3 linked regions of the Sus scrofa genome follow. The protein of the gene in region 3 interacts with the protein of the main gene of each other region in a pairwise test. Links are inferred from orthologs where the notes say so. Each region holds a gene or a part of one and is shown on either strand. Other genes may lie near its edges. The genes, in order: P4HA3, AHSP and ZC3H12A.

Region 1 (3,045 bases), on a different chromosome or scaffold from region 3:
AGCCACGGCAGGAGCAGCGGCTGCAAAGGCCTGAAGGGTGGGACCGATCCAACAGCGGGGAGCGTGGTGGTTTGAGGAACAGAAAGAATGTTGTCTCTGGGAACTCCCCTGGTGGCGCAGTGGTTAGCGAACCCGCCTAGCATCCATGAGGTCGCAGGTTCACTCCCTGGCCTTGCTCAGTGGGTTAGGGATCTGGCATTGCCGTGAGCTGTGATGTAGGTCGCAGATCCGGCTCGGCTCCCACATGACTGTGGCTGTGGTGTAGGCCGGCAGCTGCAGCTTAGATTAGACCCCTAGCCTGGGAACCACCATATGCTGCGGGTGTGGCCCTAAAAAGACAAAAAAAAAGAAACAAAACAACAACAACATTGTGTCTGGAATACAGTGAGAGGGGAGGTGAGCCAAGATGAGATTATATATAAATAAAATCTTATAGGAGGTTCCCTTGTGCCTCAGTGGGTCAAGGATCTGGCGCAGCCCAGGCTGTGGTGCAGGTTCAGTCCCTGGCCCTGGGAACTTCTATATGCTGCAGATGTGGCCAAAAATAAATAAATAAACACATACATACATGCGTAAATAAAACATTATACTCCGCCTTTTTCACTCAATGTTATAATGTAAGAATGTTCTCCATTGTGAACAATAATTTGTAAACATTTTTAATGACAAAACTTTTTAATGGCTGTATTAAAAAATCATATTAAAAAAAAGTTACTTTTTTCTACTACTTTAAAAATCATCGCATGAAGTGCACTCCTGATACAGAGACACCCCTGCTCAGTCCTCAGCAGAAGGGCTAATGGGTGTCAGGCACTGCCTGCAGGTGTCTACACTGCCACGTCTGGGCCCCTGTGGCCAAGGCTCAAAGTGGCAAAAGCTGCACGGACCAGAGCCCGGAGAGTGTTCTGTCCTGTTCCCAACACAGAGGGTCTGAACTCCAAGAACCACTCTCCAGCCTCCTCGCCCCTCCTGGGACTCAGGCCTTGAGGAGAAACAGTGTAAGTCTCATCACGTGTCCCCGCTGGGGACCACTTCCTGGTCTCCCATCTGCAAGGAGCCGGCGAGGCTGGCAAGGCCTCCTCCAGAAGCATGCTCTCCTCCTCCTCTCTTACCCCAGCGTCTGGCCTCGGGCGTCTCTGGGAAGCCACAGGACTCCCAGCTTCGCCAACGTTTTAGTCTTCAGGGCTCGAGCTGCAGGGTCTGCGGAATTCCTGTCCATACTCGTGGATCCACTTGTTGGCCACTGGAGGAGGGAGCGGGGAGACGGTTGGGAGCAAGCGCTGCGCTGCGGTTAAGTGCCACGCGCTCAGCAACTCACCCTGGTCCCAGCCCCGCAGGACTATGAGAGGCTGCTTCCAGCAGCAACAGGGAGCAAAAAGGACAGTGGGCCCTGGAAAAAGTCCCTGACCAGTCCTGTCTAATGCAGACTAATTTTCAAACCTGTCACTTACCCCTCACGCAGCTCCGAAAAGCCCGGCTCTCCCGGGGCATCATTCCAGGGAAAAAAGGGGTGCGTTCTCCTGGCACCAGGGCCCTCTTCTCCTTTTGCTGTGTTCGGAGCTAGGTGCTCATGGACAGATGTGTGACATAAACACATCCCTATTCGTTTACCTCCTCCGTGTCTGACCATGGCCCCACGGGGAAGCACTGAGGGTCTGTCCTCGGGGTAGGGGACAGGGGCCAGCACCACCCTCGGCCGTGCTCAGGGGTCAGGGCCTGTCGGTCAGGCCAATAAACTTCTACTGACCCCTGCTCTGCGACAGGAGCTGCCCTTTGTGGGCTCCCAACGTGCTGAGGGTAACTAACCCAGAATCTCACCACCCTAACGTGACGGGAAACTGTTAGGAAGCTTCGAGAAGGAAAAGGCTGGGCTATTTTCCATCTACCCCCTACTTCATTTTACCCTGAACCGTCGCCCCACTCCCATGCCCAGAAAGGCAGGCTTACCCCACTTATCTCCTACCAGGACCGGACAGCCAGCATGAAGAGTGTCACCGTCCCCCTCACCACTCCTGTGCAGGTTCCACCAAAACAGTGCTGCATTCTGAAAATAAGAGGCCCCGTCAAGGGGGTCAGCCCAGCATCTCAGTCCTTCAGAAGCACCTGACTGAGGCCAAATGCATGCATGTCATTAAGCCAGAAAACTGTCCGCGCAGACTGGGGGCCAGGCGAGCACAGCACGGCCCAACGGGTCGTCTCTTTACTCTTTGGCTCATGCGTCGCCAACGGAGGGCCTGCTCTCCTCCGGGCCCTGGAGAGAAGGAGCCAAATCGAGCTCGTGGTCTTGTGGGAGAGACACGCAAAAACAAACCAGGATGAGACGGTGTGACCAGTGCCGGGGCAAAGGTGGGCACAGGGGGTCACAGGATCACTCAGCAAAAGCACAAGGTGGAACAAATCCCCCCTCACCCAGGTAGGAACTTAAACCAGATGCTCGCCCTCCCTAACGGCAGCCCAGGAGGCAGCATCATAAGCCCACATGACCAGCAAGGAAGCTGAGGCTTAGAGGCTTTAAATCATCAGCTAAGAAGGAGCAAAGCCGCAACTCAAACCCAGGCATCTTGATCGCAAACCTTGTATGTTCTTGTCCCCTCTTGTACCAGGTTTTTCCTATACACTTTAATCCCCAGCATTTATTGAATGGTTAGGATGTGCTGGGCACTATGCTAAGAACTGTGAAGCATGATCTTAATTTTTTTTAGGGCTGAACACGCATATGGAGGTTCCAGGCTAGGGGTCCAATCAGAGCTGTAGCCACCGGCCTACACCACAGCCACAGCAACGCCGGATCCTTAACCCACTGAGTGAAGCCAGGGATCGAAGCTGTGTCCTCATGGATGCTAGTCGGGTTTGTCAACCACTGGGCCACAGCGGGAACTCCGATCTTAATTATTTGACTTCTCTTCATTCCTGAAGTAAGAGCTGCCTTCCCTGATTGTTGACTGATTGATGTGACATTTGGGGAAAGCAGCCATTAAACAAAGCTCTTATCGCACCGGCCCTCCCCTGTGCCCGGCTGGACTTTCCAGCGCTTATCGCAGTACC
Region 2 (2,817 bases), on a different chromosome or scaffold from region 3:
GCCCCCTGCCCGAGCCCCGCCCTCCGCGCCCCAAGGCTCGCAGTTTGTCTCCCCGCTGAGGGGCCCTTCCTCGTTCTCAACACCTTCATTTCATTTTTTATTTTATTTTTTATTTTATTATTTTTTTTTGTCTTTTTGCTATTTCTTGGGCTGCTCCCGCGGCATATGGAGGTTCCCAGGCTGGGAGGGTTTGAATTGGAGCTACAGCTGCCAGCCTAGCCACAGCCGCAGCCGGCCAGATCCAAGCCGAGTCTGCCACCTTGCCCCCACAGCAATGCGGGATCCTAAACCCGCTGAGCGCGGCCGGGGATGGAACCTGCATCCTCACGGATACTAGTCGGGTTTGTTACCGCTGAGCCACCGTGGGAACTACGACAGGGCCACAAATTCTGCAGAGGCTCTATCTCCCTCTTTTTGTCTACGACCCCCCGCCTCCCAGCACGGACTCTTTAGGCTCTGCTTCTCTGGCCCCACCTTCAGGCTGTTTTAGTACTGCCCAGTAGTTACCTAAGGCTGCCAGCCTCTGTTCTAAGGAATTAGACCTCCAAGGTCATTTCTAGGAAGCAAGACTGAGGGAAAGGAGATTAACAGTCTTCACAAGTCACGAATCAAACCCCAAGAAGAGTCGGAGAGCCAAGAAAACCATCAAAACCAGGACTGGTCTTTATTGAGGGGTCAGGGCGCCATAACACCCCGAAAAAGCAGAGCCTGGGGACTTGACAAACACAGAAGCGGCATTTAAGGGTTTCTTAGACATGCAATCTGGGTCTCCCCGCCAGGGGAAAGGCCATGGGTGATGGGGTTGCTCACAAGGACTTGAGGAAGTTCCTGTATTTGTCCAGGAAACTGGCAGACAGAGTATTCAGCTCTTGGCGAAGTTCCTGCAGAGCCTTGTCCTGCTCTTCCTGCTCCCCCACCATCTTCTTCTTGTAGTAGTTGAGGTACAAGTCCATCCAGTCATTCACCACAGTCACCATGGCCTCTTCGGGGATGGCAGGCTCTGAGAAGACCTGCAAGGTGGGGTGGGGGGAGGGGGTTAGGATTCTGCAAGAGAAACCCCGCTGAGCCCTGTGATCAGGAATAACCACACACTCTGACACCCCCTTTTCTCCACTTCGTATGCCCTGTCTCTAGAAGGTTCCATCAACGCCACCACAACCCTCCTGGCTCCACATTATTTTTCCTTCTCTGTCCTCATCCATTCTCCACACTTCAGGCCCTTTCTTTGAAACGGAGGGCCTTGGCCTACCTGCTGATTCAGCAGAATGTTAAATTCCTTTATTCCTGCAGAAATGAGATCCTGATTGGTTGGAAGAAGGGCCATCTGCTTGGGTAGAGAAACAGATGGAACTTAAGTATCCTTTTTGCCCATCCAAGGGTTATTTCCCCCAATTCCCTCACTCCCCTGAAGGATCCCTGGTGCAAGGCCAGCTGCCCTCAACCACCTTTCAAACCCTGCCCTGTTCTGAGATGGCATTTCTCCCCGGGGGGCTCACCTTCAGGTCCACTGCAGGTGGAGCTGTAGTGTCTCACCTACCCTTTGCAGGGTCTGGATGTTTCTCTGTGCCCAGCTAGATGCAGACAAGGAGGCAAGTGTGTCAGCTCAAGAGGGAAACGCCCTGCATTTAGGAGCTGAGGGAGGGTGATAGGTCAGCCAGGGCAGGGGAAGGAGGGAGAGGCTTCCCTGAAATTAGAAAGATAGCAAAGCCCAGAAAATAGATAAGTGGGGAGGGGAGGGGCCCAGAAAACCGGACCAGAGACAGATCCTTGTCCTCTCCTGCACACCCCAGTATCCAAGCTTCAAATGCTAACATTAAATGATGTCCCATTCCATGACAGGCATTGATTGATTGATTGATTGATTGATTGATTGTAATTTTTAGGGCTGCACTTGTGGCATATGGAAGTTCCCAGGCTAGGGGTCCAATAGGAGCTACAGCTGCCAGCCTATGCCACAGCAACAGCAACACAGGATCTGAGCCACGTCTGCGACCTACACCACAGCTCACGACAATGCCGGATCCTTAACCCACGGAGCAAGGCCAGGGATCAAACCCACAAGCTCATGGTTCCTAGTCAGATTCATTTCTGCAGCACCACAACAGGAGCTCCCTACAGGCATTTTTTTAAACCATCCCAACAAGCAGTGGCAGTTACTCTCCCAATTCATAGATGATCTATTACCAGCAGCTTACATTCCGTTTATCATTTTGTGCCAGGCTCTATTTCAAGCAAGTGTTAAGGTATTTCTTCTTTCTTTTTCTCCCCACCCCGACCACGCCTGTGGCATGTGGAAGTTCCCAAGCCTGGGATCAGAACCTAGCCACAGGGGTGACAACACCGAATCCTTAACCACTAGGCCACCAGGGAACTCCCAATTGTTATAAAAAATCATATTAGGCAAGTTCCAGTAACAGCCACATGTTGCAGGTGTACGCCAGCTGCAAGGTGGGAGGACTGAATGCTTCCAGGCTGAGCTCCACAAGAGTGGAGATGCATGTGTCTTATTCTCTGTTATATCACCAGACACTCAAGAAAGTTAAGATACTCTTTTTCTTGTGGCTCAGTTTCTGTCTGTCTGTCTTTCTTTCTTGGCCACACCTGAGGCATATGGAGGTTCCCAGGCTAGGGGTTGAATTGGAGCTGTTGCCACTGGCCCACACCACAGCCACAGCAACGCAGGATCCGAGCTGCACCTGCAACCTACACCACAGCTCATGGCAACTCCAGATCCTTAACCCACTGATTGAGGCCAGGGATCGAACCTGTGTCCTCGTGGATACTAGTCAGATTTGGTACCTCTGGGAACTCCTCCTG
Region 3 (4,269 bases):
TCCTGCCCAGGCCCCTCCTCCTCCTACCGGGACACAAACACACGGAGCACATGGCTGCCCCTGGGGCTCCGTGCTCTGGGGCCCTACCCCCAGAGGAAGGGGTCACAGACGCACCCCAGCTCCTGACCCAGCTAACTGCTGGAGCCTGAGAGGGGTCCCCTGACTCTTACTAAAGCACACGCTGTGACCGGTTACAGCTGGCCCGCGGGAGCCGGCTTGCCTCCATGTCCACCTGGGCCCAGCCCATTTCAGAGAAGTGAAGACGGACCACCAAGGTGGCCGGAATAGGGCCACCTGTGCACTTGCTGAGCTGGGCCAGGACCAGCCAGACAGCTGACTTGCCCCCAGGGAGGCCAGGTGTGGGAGGGGCAGGGGGGCCAAAGGCACAGAGCTGGCTCAGGAGGTACCCCCCCCCCAGGGACCCCTCAGGGAAGCTGAGGAAGAAGCCCTACCCACCCCACACCCATGTCTGGGGTCTCCCTGTCCGCACCCACAGGAACGTTTCCTTGTGAACCATCCACCCAATCCTGACTCAGCAGCCTGCCTGGAAGGGACTGGGAGAAAACAGGGCCGGAGGGCAGGGCCTGGATGGAAAGGAGGTCTGGGCTTCCCAGAGCCAGTGGCAGCCCTGTGCCCCCTTCCCTGTGAGAGCCTTGCTGGGGAGACAGGGGGGGTGGTTCCTGGGGTTGAGTCCTGGCTCTGGCCCCCAGGGAGCCCCCGGAGCCCTGTCCAGCCCAAGTGGCTCAGGCTGAAGCAGAGGGGACCTAAGTCACAGCTCCCCTGAAGCCAAAGCATCAGGCCAGCCACACACACCCGATGTAGATAGAGCCAGATCCTCAAGGTTACTCTCGGTCATAGCTACAAAGCCCTCAAGAGCTGGGCCGGCTTCCTCGGGAGCCCAGGTCTGGGACAACAAGGACTCAGAAGTCTGAGACCCTCCCCGAAGAGCAGTGACAGTAACAACCACTACTACAGATTACTAAGCTCTTACTTCTCTCCAGGTTCTGTGCGCTTACTGCTCACAGCTCACAGCCTGAGGGGTGGGTTAGCCCCATCTCTGGGAGGAGGGAAGGAGCCTCCTGGAGGGGCGGGCTGGAGCCCAAGGCCTGATCCCTTAACCTTGTCACAGGAGAGAAACCGAGACCAAGTGCTGGCCCTCACAAAGAGCCTAAGGCTGCTCTGGAGAAATAAAGACTTGAGCTCAAATCCCTGCTCTGGCACTTAACAGTAGTGTGACCCTGAGCAACTCTCTGAGTCCCTAAAACATCCTGAAACCCACTCCCAAGAAGCCGTGAGGACTAAGAGAGCGTCCAGGCACACAGAAGGGCCCCCAGAAAGGGCTTTCCCTGCCTCCAGACCGGTCTGAGACGAGGTCAAACTCCTTCCTAAGGTCCTTTCTACCAGAGGTGCAGAGACACAGGGCCACCATTCCCGGCCACCGTCTTGGCCACAGAAGTGACATGTACCTCATGGCCACGTTGCTCCCATCGATGACCACGGGCCTCAGGTCACCACCCTCCTTGTCCTCCTCAGAGGGTGAGGGTTCCACGGTGGGAGCCTTGGGGGTGCCCCCACCACGGGGGACCAGAGGCAGCTGAGGGCAGGGGTCCGGTGACACCTGGCACTCCCGCTCGGCCGCTGACCCATGCTTCACCAGCTCGCCCAGCACTGTGTTGGTGTCTGCCTGGACCCCCAGCTTCTGCAGGACACTGTGGATCTCGGCAGAGGAGTAGCCCAGCTTCCGGAAGAAGTCAACCTTCATCTGTAGCTCCGTGGTCATCACCTCCTCGGCAGTGGGCTCCTGGGCCGGCCTTGGGGTCTCTCGGCAGCTTTTGTGGTCTTCAAGTTCCCACAGATTCATGGTGGGGCCGGGTGGGCCTCTTTCCACTGGCCACTCACAGCTCAGACTGGTGAAAGGCACTTGTCACAGCTCCTGGAGGACAAGCACAAAAGTTAGGGACGGGGAATGATTCTCTCCAACTCCCACCCCATCCAAGAGGATGAGGCCACACTAGGGGCAGTATGAAAAGCCATTTGGGGGTGTTACCTCTGTTATTCCTCCAAAAGCCCTCCCAGGGAGGGATCCTCAAGTCCCATTACATAAAGGATGAAACTGAGCCACAGACAGTAAGAACTTGCTCAAGGTCATCCAGCTGTTAGCGGGTGGGGCAAGGATTTGAACTTAGGCAGTCTGATTACTCCTCCCCCTCTACCCTCAGCCCTCCCCCTCCTCGACAAACTCAGGGACCCAGAAGTCGCGGGTGGCCTTCGAGGGCCTCGCCGCGCCCCCACAGCCGCGGGGCGGGGTTTTCAGATGGAAACCCGCTGGGTTGCAAGTGCGCTAGAAGGGGGGCGGGGGTTCCCCGTCGAAACCATCAACCATCGTCTTCTCCAGTCCGTCTGCCGCGTGCTTGGAACCCAGGCTCAGGAGGCGGAGGGCCAGTGGCCAGACGCCCGGACCGGGGGAGGGGAAGTTTCCGGGGCGACCCACCACCAGCGAGAAAAGTTGCCGGGAAACTCTGGTTGGCCTCCGGGCTCGGTGACGCGGAGGCTGTCCCGGCCCAGAGCCTCTCGCTCGGCTCCCCCTCCAGACTTCGGTCTTCCTACTCCCAGGATCCCCCAACTTGGGCTAAGTTGGAAGCGGTCCCGAGGACCGGCGAGGCCGGAGGGGACAGGCCCCACGTCCCTCCGGCTCCGGTCAGTCCCAGCCTGCGCCCACCCCACCCCCCCTCCGCCCGCCCCGAGGTCCGCGCCCCCGCCGCGCGCGCGCGCGCGCGCCTCACCCCACCGTGCGCCGGCCGCGGCGGGCGGCGTCTCCATGGGGCCGAGTCCCGGAGGCTAGGCCGGCGGCGCCTTTATACCGGGCGGGTGGGCGGGCAGGTGGCGTTCGGGACCGTGACGCGGAAGCTGGGCAGGGGAGGCGAGAGCCGGCCCGAGCGGCAGGGGGCGGAGCGGCCACCGCCCCTTCCTGCTCCGCCCCCTGCGCCGCCCCGCCCCGCCCTGGCCTCCGGCCCCGCCCCCGCAGCCGGAGCGCGCTCTGCCCGGCCAGGAATGTGGTCAGCGGTCGCCGTTCGCAGCCCCTTATTTGAGCCTCGAGGCGCCCCCGGGGCGGCGCGATCTGCAGGGCAGGAGTGTACGGCCAACAGGCATAAGGTAAGCCCAGGTTGGACCAGGTAAGCGATCCGAGTCTGGCGCGGGCTGACCGAGAGTACGGCAGTACAACACAGGTATAGCTGCGGTCGTTCAGACTTAAGTATGCGGAAGGTACAGTCTGGGGTGCATCGAGTGAATCAAGTGCACAAAGGTTGGTCCACACACCACGGGAGGCAGAGCCATGGTTATAAAGACAGGTACACCCAGGCGGGCACCTTTCTCATTGAGACAGGAAGACTCAACAGGTAACCGTGACTGGAGCAGGTACACAGAAGTGGGGCCCCACCCAGGGCCAAGTACATTTTTTTTTTTTTTTTTTCTGAAATAAGGACCTTGCTGGGATAGAAAGGCAGGTACAACCTGCCTTGTCCCAGCTGGAAAGACTTGCAAGCAGCACCAGGAGCTCCAGTTCCATGGCACCAGGTGCCACCTATGTCACTTTTGAAATCACCAGTGACCCCACCTAGCTAACTCCCTGCTTTGTTGCCTGGTCATCTTTAAAGACCCCGAAGGATCTCCACGTCAGTGCCCCCCAGGCACAGCAACCCCAGGAGCTGGCCTCCAGGAGAGAGAGAAAACAAGCCTTCCCCCAGATCACATCCAGGGCTGGGCTCCTCTCTGTGCTCCCCACCACTCCTGCTGAGCACTGTGTGTGCCGGTAGCCTTAATCTTCACACAAGGGCCACTTTTAGAGTTGAGAAAAGTTCAGTGAAAAGTGCTGTATATTTAGACATGTGCTCATGTGTAGTAACTCCCTTTAAGATAGTAAGAATATTAAATGAGTCCAGATTAATCAGCATAATGATGATAGTCAACCACAGCGATAATGCCTCGCATTTATGGAGGACTCACTGGGCGGCAGGCACGGTGCCAACGCCTTGCAGACACTTCCGTGCCTTTGCATCTCTCCTCCTCGGCCCAGGAGTGCTCTCCCCTTCTTCCCTGGCTACAGCTGCCTGGCCAATTCTGTTCCTCTTTTGGATGATGTCACCTCCTCTGTGAGGCCTGCCCAGACTCCTTTGGTGCTGAGTTGCTTCCTCCTTAGTGCTCCCACAGCACCCTGCCTGTGTCCCTACGTGCTGGATTGTGATTGCCTGCTTGGACCGCCTCCGGGGC

The links.
Region 1: the proteins of ZC3H12A (region 3) and P4HA3 interact in binary tests that used the Homo sapiens proteins (3 or more experiments, as listed by UniProt). The two-hybrid records come from large-scale screens. The link is inferred for Sus scrofa from reciprocal best matches to the Homo sapiens genes ZC3H12A and P4HA3.
Region 2: the proteins of ZC3H12A (region 3) and AHSP interact in binary tests that used the Homo sapiens proteins (3 or more experiments, as listed by UniProt). The two-hybrid records come from large-scale screens. The link is inferred for Sus scrofa from reciprocal best matches to the Homo sapiens genes ZC3H12A and AHSP.

The regions. Positions count from the first base shown.
Region 1 is NC_010451.4:8,626,811-8,629,855, forward strand, and holds the end of P4HA3 (prolyl 4-hydroxylase subunit alpha-3), read right to left. Parts: intron 2,045-3,045; coding exon 1,948-2,044; intron 1,244-1,947; coding exon 1,173-1,243; 3' UTR 557-1,172; downstream 1-556. UniProt on the Homo sapiens protein: Catalyzes the post-translational formation of 4-hydroxyproline in -Xaa-Pro-Gly- sequences in collagens and other proteins.
Region 2 is NC_010445.4:17,058,701-17,061,517, forward strand, and holds AHSP (alpha-hemoglobin-stabilizing protein), read right to left. Parts: upstream 1,644-2,817; 5' UTR 1,497-1,643; intron 1,328-1,496; 5' UTR 1,325-1,327; coding exon 1,250-1,324; intron 1,011-1,249; coding exon 807-1,010; 3' UTR 640-806; downstream 1-639. UniProt on the Homo sapiens protein: Acts as a chaperone to prevent the harmful aggregation of alpha-hemoglobin during normal erythroid cell development. Specifically protects free alpha-hemoglobin from precipitation.
Region 3 is NC_010448.4:93,539,978-93,544,246, reverse strand, and holds the start of ZC3H12A (endoribonuclease ZC3H12A), read right to left. Parts: upstream 2,914-4,269; 5' UTR 2,789-2,913; exon of another isoform or gene 2,784-2,788; intron 2,719-2,783; exon of another isoform or gene 2,048-2,718; intron 1,934-2,047; 5' UTR 1,862-1,933; coding exon 1,467-1,861; intron 1-1,466. UniProt on the Homo sapiens protein: Endoribonuclease involved in various biological functions such as cellular inflammatory response and immune homeostasis, glial differentiation of neuroprogenitor cells, cell death of cardiomyocytes, adipogenesis and angiogenesis.